Linked DNA regions of Oryzias latipes. The protein of the gene in region 1 purifies or fractionates together with the protein of each later gene. This does not show direct contact. Links are inferred from orthologs where the notes say so. Each region holds a gene or a part of one and is shown in the gene's direction. Other genes may lie near its edges. The genes, in order: pdpk1, syndecan-2-A and wdr5.

The links.
Region 2: the proteins of pdpk1 (region 1) and syndecan-2-A purify together in Homo sapiens (affinity purification with mass spectrometry; 4 studies listed by BioGRID and IntAct, counting the BioPlex papers as one, with this or other methods). This does not show direct contact. The link is inferred for Oryzias latipes from reciprocal best matches to the Homo sapiens genes PDPK1 and SDC2.
Region 3: the proteins of pdpk1 (region 1) and wdr5 purify together in Homo sapiens (affinity purification with mass spectrometry; 4 studies listed by BioGRID and IntAct, counting the BioPlex papers as one, with this or other methods). This does not show direct contact. The link is inferred for Oryzias latipes from reciprocal best matches to the Homo sapiens genes PDPK1 and WDR5.

The regions. Positions count from the first base shown.
Region 1 is NC_019877.2:9,278,266-9,282,656, forward strand, and holds the start of pdpk1 (3-phosphoinositide-dependent protein kinase 1), read left to right. Parts: upstream 1-1,507; 5' UTR 1,508-1,695; coding exon 1,696-1,719; intron 1,720-3,481; coding exon 3,482-3,772; intron 3,773-3,906; coding exon 3,907-3,949; intron 3,950-4,046; coding exon 4,047-4,184; intron 4,185-4,288; coding exon 4,289-4,391. Other genes in the region: ribosome biogenesis protein TSR3 homolog, read left to right, coding at 145-199, 525-639. UniProt on the Homo sapiens protein: Serine/threonine kinase which acts as a master kinase, phosphorylating and activating a subgroup of the AGC family of protein kinases.
Region 2 is NC_019869.2:20,677,726-20,681,317, forward strand, and holds part of syndecan-2-A, read left to right. Parts: intron 1-3,203; coding exon 3,204-3,315; intron 3,316-3,550; coding exon 3,551-3,592. UniProt on the Homo sapiens protein: Cell surface proteoglycan which regulates dendritic arbor morphogenesis.
Region 3 is NC_019870.2:23,024,927-23,029,180, reverse strand, and holds the start of wdr5 (WD repeat-containing protein 5), read left to right. Parts: upstream 1-1,362; 5' UTR 1,363-1,553; intron 1,554-2,189; 5' UTR 2,190-2,213; coding exon 2,214-2,294; intron 2,295-2,489; coding exon 2,490-2,598; intron 2,599-3,753; coding exon 3,754-3,827; intron 3,828-3,949; coding exon 3,950-4,039; intron 4,040-4,254. Other genes in the region: bromodomain-containing protein 3, read right to left, coding at 974-997.

The DNA.
Region 1 (4,391 bases):
TTTTGTGTTAGGGTAACAAATTGCAGTCTTTCATTGTTTTGTTTTCATTAATATTCAGAAAACAATTAAAAGTTCAAGTCTTGATCTCTGTAATATTTAAAAAAAATATATCTAATGAAATGTGTTAATCTTTCTTGTTTGCAGATCCATTTGATGTTAATTCTGGGGTTGAATGTATGAATCTCAATCGACGTCAATGGTAAACACCTACTTTTGTTGATAAAAGGAAAGGCTTGTTTGAATTTGGGTATCTGGCTGATGTGGAAAACAACCCTGGTCCTCATGATCTACATCCCTGGCTGTTTTCCCGGCACTCTCCCTATAGCTGCTGATCAGGTGTGTTCAGTCAATCGGAATAAAGTCAGAAACCAGTGCAGAGAGAGCTGGAAAACAGGGAGAGTGGTAGGTCTCGAAGACCAGAGTTGGGCAGCCCACGCTAAGAAAAGTTATAGTTACTGTTGTTGGGCACTGGGTCCAACAGTAAAGATGGATCAGAAGTGATTAAAAATAATTTCTGTGTTAAGTGCTCCTGAGGATGATGAATCGGGTGAGGACAGCGACATGTCGGAAGATGAAGATGAAAACGAAGATGGCGATGAAGATTCAAAAACATCCTGTAATCAACAAGAAGAGGACTGAATAAAAATATATTTAAAAATGTTTCTTTTGAGTCACCCTAACTATTTGGTAAACATTTTCTACAGTTCAAATAATTTTCAGAAATAGAATTTACAGTATCACAGAGAATCAATTTACGAACTATTTTAACTACATTCTAGGATATTTATTTTTCTTTTATAAACTGTGGTATCTAACGCAAAGGAAATGTAATGAATTTTGCAAAACAGATAAGATTGTAAATGAATGTTTCTGCAGAATGAAAATTTTCAAAAAAGTGGGTAATGTCGGTTCTTTGCTGGGAATATAAGGTAGTGAAGATAGTTTGCCTGTATACCTTCAAATTTAAAAATAAATGTAAAACATCAAGATCCAGAAAAACATTTCTTTGGACTCATCTTTAAGATTAAACAAAGTAAATGGAGTTAGGGTGAATTAAATCTTATTTAAGTTTTACAAACCTTACTTTTTTTTAAATATATGGTAAAAAATTGTAATCAACTTTATATTTTTAGGCACTTGTATATTGAAAGTTATTAAATGTCGAAAAACATAACTGGCATTATTATGTGTCATCCATTAATATAAATTAGTAAACAATTGTAACTTTCTGCATTTGCTTGTATGATAAGAGAAATGCAAAAATAATGCGTGTATTCTGAATATATACGTTTGATTTGTTTTTATCTTTATTTCAGTTTAATAGAATTAGAATTAAAAAAAAAAAGTCAGGTTTCAGTTTAATAAATACACAAGACGCAAAGACTGTCAATAAATCCTCCCAAACTGCGTGAGCGGCGCTTTCTTTCTCCTTGCAGTTAAAAGACCTCTAAGCTCGAATAGTTCATAGGCCATAACTTATTTGAATATCAACAACCGCTCCTATTTCACTTCAGCCTTATCTGTGTGGAAGGCTGTTAATGTGGCGGGGGCGTACACAGCAGGACTCTCCTCTGCTGTCCTGCGGTAACATTGTTGTGGAACGACGTCACAGCTCAAAAATGAAGGCGCAGAGGCAGCCATTACTGGAGCTTCTATAATTATTTTATTTCACATAAATATTCGCAGAAAACTCCCATGGCAAGAGCGACAAGTCAGCTGGTAAGTGTGGCTATTTAAAGAACAGTAACAGTACGTAGCCGGCATTGAAAATGTGCTGAATGGCAGCTTTGTTGTAAGTAGTTGCGCTGGGCCTTCATTTGAAAGCAGGGCTAATATCTTTTTCGCCTTACGCTTCACTAGCAAGTGTTAGCTTCCGAGTGTTGGCTAACAAAACACTTCGCGTTAAATGTCCTTATCGTGGTTGTTTAACATTTTCCTTGATTACTAGATAAACGTGTTTCGATTAAGCTCTGATAGGGTACGTTTATATGTTTGATATATTTGTTTTCAGGCTTTTTAAGACGACTTTCTTCGAACCAGCCACTGTTTGCTAATGTAAGCTTGGATTCGCGCTTCTACTTACCGACTCTGCCTGCTAGCAAGCTAATGTTAGCTTCAATGCATTCCACCTTTCGATAGAAGAGAGTTCTCTAACGATAACATCATGGCATCTGATTGTCAACTTTATAAATATGATATTCATGCGGACATTGTAACTTATAACGAGAGGGGGAAACATTTTGTCATAAAGGCAAGAGGTTTTTCAGTTACTTGTCTTGGCTTGTTTGCTATCTTTTAGCTTACTTGCTGTTAGCGTCAAGTTTGTAACTTGCTGTCAGTGATGGCCGGCATTATTTGACAAGGTAGCAGGAGCTAATGTTAGCCTGCTAGCAGGCTTTGGTTGGGGAAGAAACTTTCCATAGGAGAGTTCTTACAACAGTTTTTGGTTATGACAATTTTATCAGACCGTGTCTATCATTAAATACACGATTGCCCATCTGTAAGAGACGAGTGAATAGAGGTTAATCTGAACTCTTGATTATGACATAGTCAACTCCGGAATAAGCAGCTAAATGGCCACACCTTGTTGCTTTTGAATGAGTAGAAGCTAGGCCAGATAAATTGATCAGCGCTTATTGCCAATTAACTACATGTTTCATTCATTTCACAGGTTACATTTGTAAAACGAAATCGTTTTAAAGTGTTATCATACTTGCTAAATGATTATACACACAGTGGCTATCAACTACTACGATTTGTGATGCAACTTAATGAGTTTCATTTTGTGTTCTAGTGCTCCAACGCCTGGTTGATTATATACTAAATATACCATATTCATTGTCATTGTTGTAAAAGCTGCTGCCACTGAAAATGGAACTTTACAGGTTTTTACAACAAAAGCATAAAGTTTCTATGTGTATAGCTATCAAGGTTGAACTTTGCCCTTCGGTAGTCTGACATGAAATACTACTTATTTACGAAATCCTGCTAACATCTTTATGTTACATGTAACAGATGCATACTTCTGTTTTTTTAAAATATGCCTACTTTCTGAAATAGTAAAGAAAAATGCTCTATTGGTTGTAAATGATGTGCATTCTGCCCATTTCAGGGGGTGAAGCATTCTTTAACTTCCTTTTTTTTTAACAATAATTTTACAATAGTACATATACTATCTTAAAATGTTAAAGTACTAGGTTGTAAATGCAAAGGTATCTTTGACCTGGACAAAAAAAAGTTTCATTCTATTAATACATATTTTAAATGACATGTAAATGGAGATACCTATAGTCTACTTAAGGGTCAAATCAAGTGTTATCTTCATACATTTCTCAGCAAAAAAATGCTTATTTAACTAAGTAACAACTTAATATTAGGTTTTTAAAATATACTTATTAATTTTGTCTCAAATAATAGAGTATTTTAACTTCAGTACTCCATTCCTGATATGTATTCTCCTTATTTTCTTGTCTCATTTCAGTATGATGTTGTGCCCATTCAGCCCAACGTTGTCATCTGTTCCTGCTCACATCCATCAATGGTAAGAAACCACCCTGACTCCTGCTCGCCACTTGCTATCCCAGGCGCAAGCAGCCGTCACTGCTCCGGTATGGAAGGCCCAGCTGCAGAGGCTTGTGCTGTAGGAGCGCCTGCAAACAGCCAGAGCTCAGAGGCCTGCAAGCAGCCGGCCATCCAGCCGGCTCAGCCACGCAAGAAGAAGCCAGAGGACTTCAAGTTTGGCAAAATACTGGGAGAGGGCTCCTTCTCAACGGTATAAATCTTTAATTTTATCTGAATTATATTATGATAGATGTTGCTACATGTTAGGATTCTTTTGATTTAATGGCAAATGGGGCCTAATTGTAACATTTTTTCAATATTTTCTCATTTGTTTCTGGTTCTCAGGTTGTCCTTGCAAGAGAGCATGCCACAGGCAAAGAATTTGCAAGTTAGTAAAACGGATTATCTTTCAGCAAATACTTTTGATTTATACCGTTAATAAATGATTGTACACTTACCAATGTTTTTTTCTTTTTTTTTACTAGTTAAGATTTTAGAGAAACGCCACATTATGAAGGAGAATAAAGTCCAGTACGTGAAAAGAGAAAGGGATTTGATGTCAAGCCTTGATCACCCATTCTTCGTCAAGCTCTACTTCACATTTCAAGATGATGAGAAGTTGTGTATCCTTACAACTGATTTCTGAGAGTTTTTTAAATGAGAATCTTTTAAAGATTTGGGTCTGTGTGTATTCTTCAAAGCATGTTTCTTAACTGGCGTTCTGTAGATTTTGGGCTCAGTTATGCTAAAAATGGCGAACTCCTGAAATACATACGCAAAATTGGTTCCTTTGATGAGACCTGCACTCGGTTCTACTCGGCTGAAATAGT
Region 2 (3,592 bases), on another chromosome or scaffold:
CACATGTTTTTCTCAGCTGTAGTGTGGGAATACAAACAGATTGTGTTTAATTAAAGTTTTGTTTAATTGGACTTGGTTTTTCTATTCTTGTGTTTTAGAATCAGAAAATGTCCAATTGATCCCCAAATCCCAGTAATTTCCAGAAGGTTCACATATTTGTTGCAGATGTGTTCGACAAAAGAATAATATGCTGGGAGAGAAAACGGTGCATCCTTGCAACACGTGATGTTAATTATCTGATGTGAATGATTGAAAATTTTGTTTGATGGTCCCAAACCTCTGGGAAGTGGACTGGTACCGGTCCGTGAGCCACTTAGTACCAGGTTGCAGACAGAAAGAAAATGCATAGGCTGACTTTGATTATGTCCGTTTTGTTTATTTTCTGATACTGAAGGAAGTTTTATTTTGAAAAACTACCGGATTCCGTTCACCTCATCTGTCTGTCACATGACCTTAAGGAGCTGGTCGAAGTTAGTAGTTTAATGCTTAAAAACTAAGAAAAATCAAACAAAAAAGTAAAAAGAGTCAATGAGGAAAACGAATAAGAGTCTTCAACTTCAAAGCTGCGATTTACACACAAAAGCAGGAGTTTTCCGCGACAAATGGATTTATCGAGACAGTTCTTCTCAAAAACGAAACAGCTTTGTTTGATATGTGGCTGCTGACTTTTTAATATTTCAAATGCACAAATAATAAAGATGCAGACACTTTGGATTCATTTCTATAATGATATTTATATTCTGTTGTTCCATTTTATTTTTGCTTTATTTATCCATCACACCTTAAAAGTCGGACGCAGCTAAAGCTAGCCTCCGGTTTGACGTCTGTCAGCTGCAAACATTTAACAGAGAATGATGTTCTGTTGATAATGTTGTCAACTTGCTGAAGACGTGTCCGATCCGAGGAAACTTGTAAAAGGGAGATTCATAGTGGATTAGGCAGGCAGCTGTTAAACTAGAACAGAAAATGTTCTTAAGATAAAAATAAATCCAAAATAAATCAGGATTTATGTAAAAACAAAATATGAAAAATCATTTTAATTTGAAAGGTGATCTCAGAGTGAGTTGAGTTCTCAGTGCTATAATGGTCTTGTGAGTCGCACAAACAGTCGCGCAACTTAAATCTCGTGGGCCGCGACTCAAGTCTCGTGTGCCGTGACTCAAGTCTCGTGGGCCGCGACTCAAGTCTCGTGGGCCGCGACTCAAGTCTCGTGGGCCACCGCGACTCAAGTCTCGTGGGCCGCCGCGACTCAAGTCTCGTGGGCCGCCGCGACTCTAGTCTCGTGCCCCGCGTCTCAAGCCTCGTGGGCCGCGACTCAAGCCTCGTGGGCCGCGACTCAAGCTTCGTGGGCCGCGACTCAAGTCTCGTGCGCCGCGACTCAAGCCTCGTGGGCCGTGACTCAAGCCTCGTGGGCCGCGACTCAAGTCTCGTGGGCCGTGACTCAAGCCTCGTGAGCCGCGACTCAAGCCCCGTGGGCCGCGACTCAAGTCTCGTGGGCCGCGACTCAAGCCTCGTGGGCCGTGACTCAAGCCTCGTGCGCCGCGACTCAAGCCTCGTGGGCCGTGACTCAAGCCTCGTGAGCCGCGACTCAAGCCCCGTGGGCCGCGACTCAAGTCTCGTGGGCCGCCGCGACTCTAGTCTCGTGGGCCGCCGCGACTCTAGTCTCGTGGGCCGCCGCGACTCTAGTCTCGTGGGCCGCCGCGACTCTAGTCTCGTGGGCCGCCGCGACTCTAGTCTCGTGGGCCGCCGCGACTCTAGTCTCGTGGGCCGCCGCGACTCTAGTCTCGTGCGCCGCGACTCAAGTCTCGTGGGCCGCGACTCAAGTCTCGTGGGCCGCGACTCAAGTCTCGTGGGCCGCCGCGACTCAAGTCTCGTGGGCCGCCGCGACTCAAGTCACGTGGGCCGCCGCGACTCAACTCCCGGGGCCGCCGCGCCTCAAGTCTCGTGGGCCGCCGCGACTCAAGTCTCGTGGGCCGCCGCGACTCAAGTCTCGTGGGCCGCCGCGACTCAAGTCTCGTGGGCCGCCGCGACTCAAGCCTCGTGGGCCGCGACTCAGGCCTCGTGGGCCGCGACTCAAGTCTCGTGGGCCGCCGCGACTCTAGTCTCGTGGGCCGCCGCGACTCTAGTCTCGTGGGCCGCCGCGACTCTAGTCTCGTGGGCCGCCGCGTCTCTAGTCTCGTGGGCCGCCGCGACTCTAGTCTCGTGGGCCGCCGCGACTCTAGTCTCGTGGGCCGCCGCGACTCTAGTCTCGTGGGCCGCGACTCAAGCCTCGTGGGCCGGGACCCAAGCCTCCTGGGCCGCGACTCAAGCCTCGTGGGCCGCGACTCAAGCCTCGTGGGCCGCGACTCAAGCGACACCAGCCCTTAAAGCTCTCGCAGCCCTAAAGTTCGCACCAGCCCTAAAGTTCTCGCAGCTCACAGCTAGGATTAGAAATATCATTATAGTTCTCCTGCTCAGACAGCAGACACGGACCCTCAATGACTTCTTAATGTTCTCACAGCCTCATCCAATGGTTATTTGGTGGCGTCATTGTGTCGTTCCTGCAGGACGGCCAAACATTTTGGACCAAATGTTCTCCTGATTTGCTCCATCGGCAGCTTAGAGCAGCAGTTTCCTCCCGTGCTGCTGTTGTGCAGGACTTAGCGGGATTAGTTCTGGTGGAGAGTTTGTGGCTTCAGTGAATGCGAATGTGCGACTGCACAATCTGCCTGTCATGTGAGAAACATTAAAGTCATCTGGGTGACCCCCCCCCCCCCCCCCCCTTGCTGGTCTGCAGCCCATCAGAGGGAAAACAGTAAATCTTTGTTTCTGAGCCGACTGCAAAGATGTTGCTAAAGAGAAGAAAAACATTGTAGGAAGGACTTTAATAGCTAGAATTGGTGGCTCTTCCTTCCTCTTCTGAATAAACTCTTCAAATTTGGACTGAATTTAAAATGCAATCATTTTTTTGTTCCTTTGCTGTGTTAGGAATATTTTGAAAGAGACTAAACATGATTTCTATTCTTTTAACTAAATGATCACTAAAAGAGTGATAAAAAATGGATCCATTTCCTGAACCTGCTTAGTCCCTGTCAGGGTTGCGGGGTTGCTGGAGCCTATCTCAGCCACTGTTGGGCTGAGACACTGTGGGGTACATCCTGGACAGGTCTTTGTCCCACGTTTCTCTGACGGTCCTCCCTGAACGTTCTTCTGTGTGTTTTCAGAGAGCAGCAGCTCAGGCCTCCTCACAATCGGATGACCTGTTCCTGGAGGAGCCCGGCTCAGGAGGTGTCTACCCTGAAGATGACGACGACTTTAACTCTGGATCTGGCTCAGGTACAGTAGCAGATTTTTTTGTTTGCTTGTTCCTCACCCTCTCTGTAGTTATTTTAATTCCTGCAGCTGTGGTAAAGCAATTCTTCTGCAGACGAGCTTCATTTTGAGGTTCTACTGGTCTGAACCTACACCAGATCCAAACTTCAAACCATTATCCACTAAATGTGAAGGTCTGTGATCAGAAGTTTGGTTTGCACACATGCAGGTTGACGGTTGGATGCTGTTCTCCTTACAGGTGCCGGAGGAGAGGAGGAGGAGCAGGAGGCACCAATGACCA
Region 3 (4,254 bases), on another chromosome or scaffold:
TTATGCTTTTTTAATTCATCCTTAATATAATAATGAATGTTGTAATCTATTACTGTTTTGTTTGTTTTTTAATGTTTCCACTATGCAGAAGATCAAAAAACGCAAAATGTAATAAAAATTAAAACAACCACAAATAAAAAGTGAATTTTGGAGTAATTAACCAACTTAAAAATGTAAACATGGGAAGCTACAGCTCCATGAAAGCAAACCAAAACCACTGCAGCAGATTCCCTCCTTCACATTCCTCAGAAAGGGTCTTTAAGAACTGCAGAACGTGCCAGGCGGAAGTGGGCGGACGTGACAAAAACCGCGTGTTTTATCACTTTAACCCACAAGAACCCCTGTTGTTGTTGGACACGCGCGAGGAATGCCTTCTACTGGATACTGAAATGCTTCACGTGTGCACGAACTCTCAAAGTTTTACTCAGTTAAATAAGGGCTTTGTATCCTAGCAGATGGAGGCGTAGTCCCCAAAACGTTACTTCCAACAACTATTGTAAAAAATTATTTGTCAAACCACACAGACTTCCTGAAGAGACAATGCAAATGAATACCAATATTTTCTTCGAGGTCAAGAAACGTCCAACGTGTTAGCTATCATAATTAGCTAGTCTGTGCACAAATGAAATGTTTTTCTTGCCTGGTGGTGAACGAAAATCCTTTATTTCTTTAACTCTGCAACACCTAAAAATGCTGCTATAAAATGTTATTGAAAAAAAAGTCTGACTTTTTTATTTTAACTAGTCATAATATATATCAGGTATTTAAGCAATTTAAAAAAATCACCTAAGTTTTCTTTTTAATCCGTTTCGAGAAAAAACTCCGATCATCATCTAACGGGAAGGGAGGGTAGCGGCAAGTTGTTTACCAACTCGTATTGTTAAATTGGAATAAAAGTTCAAGCAATGCTCCTCTTCAAAAACAGTAAAACTTTACACCGAAGCTTGAACAGAAAAGTATGCGCTTCAAGTACCTCCACGGCGAAGTCAGTCACCATCTGCTAACTTCCTCTCCCGACCTGCTGCACCTACATGGCTGGCAATTCAATTCGTGTCTATTTGTCTGGGCACGTCAGCCCAGAAGTCAAAGGGGAATACTGCCATCTAGTGTTCTGGAGTGTCCACTGTTTTCATTTGGCAAAAAACGCAAATATTTTGCACTGACATATTTTTCTTTTGATAATACTATTATCAAAAGAGAATTATATATTTTGCTTCACTTAACTTTTTTTCTGGTAAATTGAAATATTAATTGCAAAATGTTTACGTCTTAAGGGAAAACTGCATTTTGTGACGTTTATTCTAACTCGTGCCATCGATACTTGATCCTCACAGGTTTCCGTTACTTCTGTGTGTGACGCGCCTGCGCATTGCACTGGCACACTACATTCCCTCGTTTCTTCGTTGGTTTTCTCGCAGCCAAACGTATACAAGGAGGCAGGTAGATTAGTTTTTTGTAAGTTTAGGATCATATTACGAAAAAACAGACTGGTTTTAATCGTGTTTTCTTCGGTGGAGGAAAAAAATCTGGAGGTGAATCTGTAAAACGTTTCTGTAAGTATGAGCGTTTGCGTAAATCTTCATTGTCTGAGGAGTAGAGGGCCGCTTTTGTGGCAGGTTGTCAATAGCTAAAAACAAGTGACCGCATGTACATAGTGCTGATAGTTTTCCTGAACATCTAGCACTTTATATTTTTTAACGTCTATTTCATATCCATTTGAACATGCAACGCGTCTTTTTTTCAAGTACAAATATATAAAGTCTGTCTGAAGTTGCGCCAAAGGAAGGTATTCCGCGTCGCTTTTGTTATATGATGCTGTTTTCACCTATTATTTCTTTATGGTAAACATTTTGACGTTAAAAATGTGGAAGCTGACTTTAATGTACATCAAATGCCACTTCGCGATGTTTTTGTTTTGCCAGTTAAGAAAAAAGAGTTTTTATACGTCAGCGTACCGAAGCTAACTGAGCTAGCTAAAATTTTTAGCCATCGAGCTAATTTGTAAACGCTTAATTTAGCCAATACGGCTATACAATCTACATTGCAATTGTATGCATCAACTTTACCTTTTAATAAACAAAATATTTCTACAACACGTTAAACTATAAACGAGAGTATAATAAATTTGACGAAGGGGCTGTGCAAGCATGTAATTTGAAATACTTGTGTGCTCTTCTGTCTCCTTGCAGTGCTCAGTAGATGCTATTTTTTTCATGATGGCAACCGAAGACAAGAAACCAGAGACTGACACAAAACCTCCAGTTGTGCAGTCAGCATCTGCAAGCCAAAGCAAGGTCTGGATATAAGAAAATGACTGAGTACTCTGGGCCGTGTTCTTGTGCAACTGCAGCTTTGCATCAATTGTTTCTTTTGTTTTCCAATTAATACAAGATTAAATGGTGAACAATGCATTTTGGTTTTTGTTTTAGCAGAGTTGATATGTACTTCTTTTCTATCTTACCAATGGCATTAAATGTGCCCCCCCACAGTCTGCGCCTGCAAAGCCAAACTACAGCCTGAAGTTCACGTTAGCAGGACACACCAAAGCCGTGTCTTCTGTCAAATTCAGTCCAAGTGGAGAATGGCTCGCCAGCTCATGTGAGTTCATCCTCCTCTGTGTGGCTTTTAAGCAATGAATGTCTCAAAATGTACTCAACATGAAACCATTATATTGGTTGATGTTGACCCTGTTCAAAGGGAGTTTACTCAATGAAAAAAAAAAACTATGTAGAGTTTACAAAATGTTAACATTTAGGAATCTAAACAAGAGGCCGTCAGCTCTCATCTACCTGCCCAGCTGTTGGACAGGACAAGTAAAAAAAAAAAGAGAGAGAAAAAAAACAAACATTTAGGAATCTTGAGTTTATTTCAAATGATTTTTCGGATTAATTGTTAGAACAAAACATGTGAAGTAGTTATGTACATATATATTTTTTTACTAAAGCCACTTTAGTAGTGTTATTCCTTTCTGCCCCTTTGGCTTTTTGCCCTGACGTTGGACTTTAAAAGGCCCATTTCACCATGGTGTCATATTTTGTTCCATTCTCCGATCCGCCTCCAGAGTTAGTCTCAGAGATGAAATAGGTGGGTGAAAGGGTAAGACAATGCCAGGGCTGTAACCAGCATCCAAATACTTGGAAATCTTTCTATCTTTTCAAGAACAATGTTTGGGCATATTTGTTGTCTTTATAAATATAGTAGAATATAGTACAAATAAACTTCACGCATTGTAATTATCACTCTAAATCAGCAGAATAATGTTGGAATTCGAGGATATAAACTGACAGATATCAGCTAAAGATGGTAAAGTGTGACAGTTTCATGCTGAAACTGATGATGATTTATTTTCTGAACCAACAGTGTTTAGTTTTGTTGGGAAAACCAAAAAATAGAAACTTATAAAGTGCTGTTCACTGATGCTCCAATATCCCATAATCCATCCAACTAACATACGTCACTGTGCCTCTGTGCTGTGGAGGTGGGGAACACGTTGAACTAAGAAGTTAACATTCACTGAGGCCCCCAGCCCCAAAATGAACTTGTCAAGGAGAAATAATCAGAGAAAACTAGAACCAAATTAGAATTAAACGTAGAATGTTCTAATCTAGTAAATATAGTTTTCTGTTTATCAGATGTATTAAACTTGTCATTTGGATCAATTTGTATGCTGTGTTACATTTGTGTGTAGTGTTGGCTTCATAATTGATGTGATGACAGTAATTCATAGATTTGACTGATGTTCTCTTGTTCCAGCTGCTGATAAACTCATCAAGATCTGGGGAGCGTATGATGGCAAGTTTGAGAAAACCATATCTGGACACAAACTTGTGAGTAAAACTGTACTCTGATATTGCTCTGATATGTTCTCTGGATTTCCTGTGGGAGGAATAGATTTTAGAAGCGCCCTTCTCCTTCTTATGTGTCTGAACTATTTCCCATGATCCTGCAGGGCATCTCTGATGTGGCCTGGTCCTCTGATTCCAACCTGCTGGTGTCTGCATCAGACGACAAAACCCTGAAAATCTGGGATGTCAACTCGGTAAGAAGGTTCTGCACTTGTTCTAGGAGCCAAAACGTATTTTTTTGGCACTTATTCTTGTTTACCCTTTAATTTAGTATATTTCCCCTTTTTAATTTCCTAAGTAATGACATCTGGGTAAAAGGTTGTACAAGCATTCACTCACCTTCACTCAGGATGGCAGAGAAGAGGCATCTTGGACTGTTCATTTTTGTTAACAGCTATTTTTGCTGCTT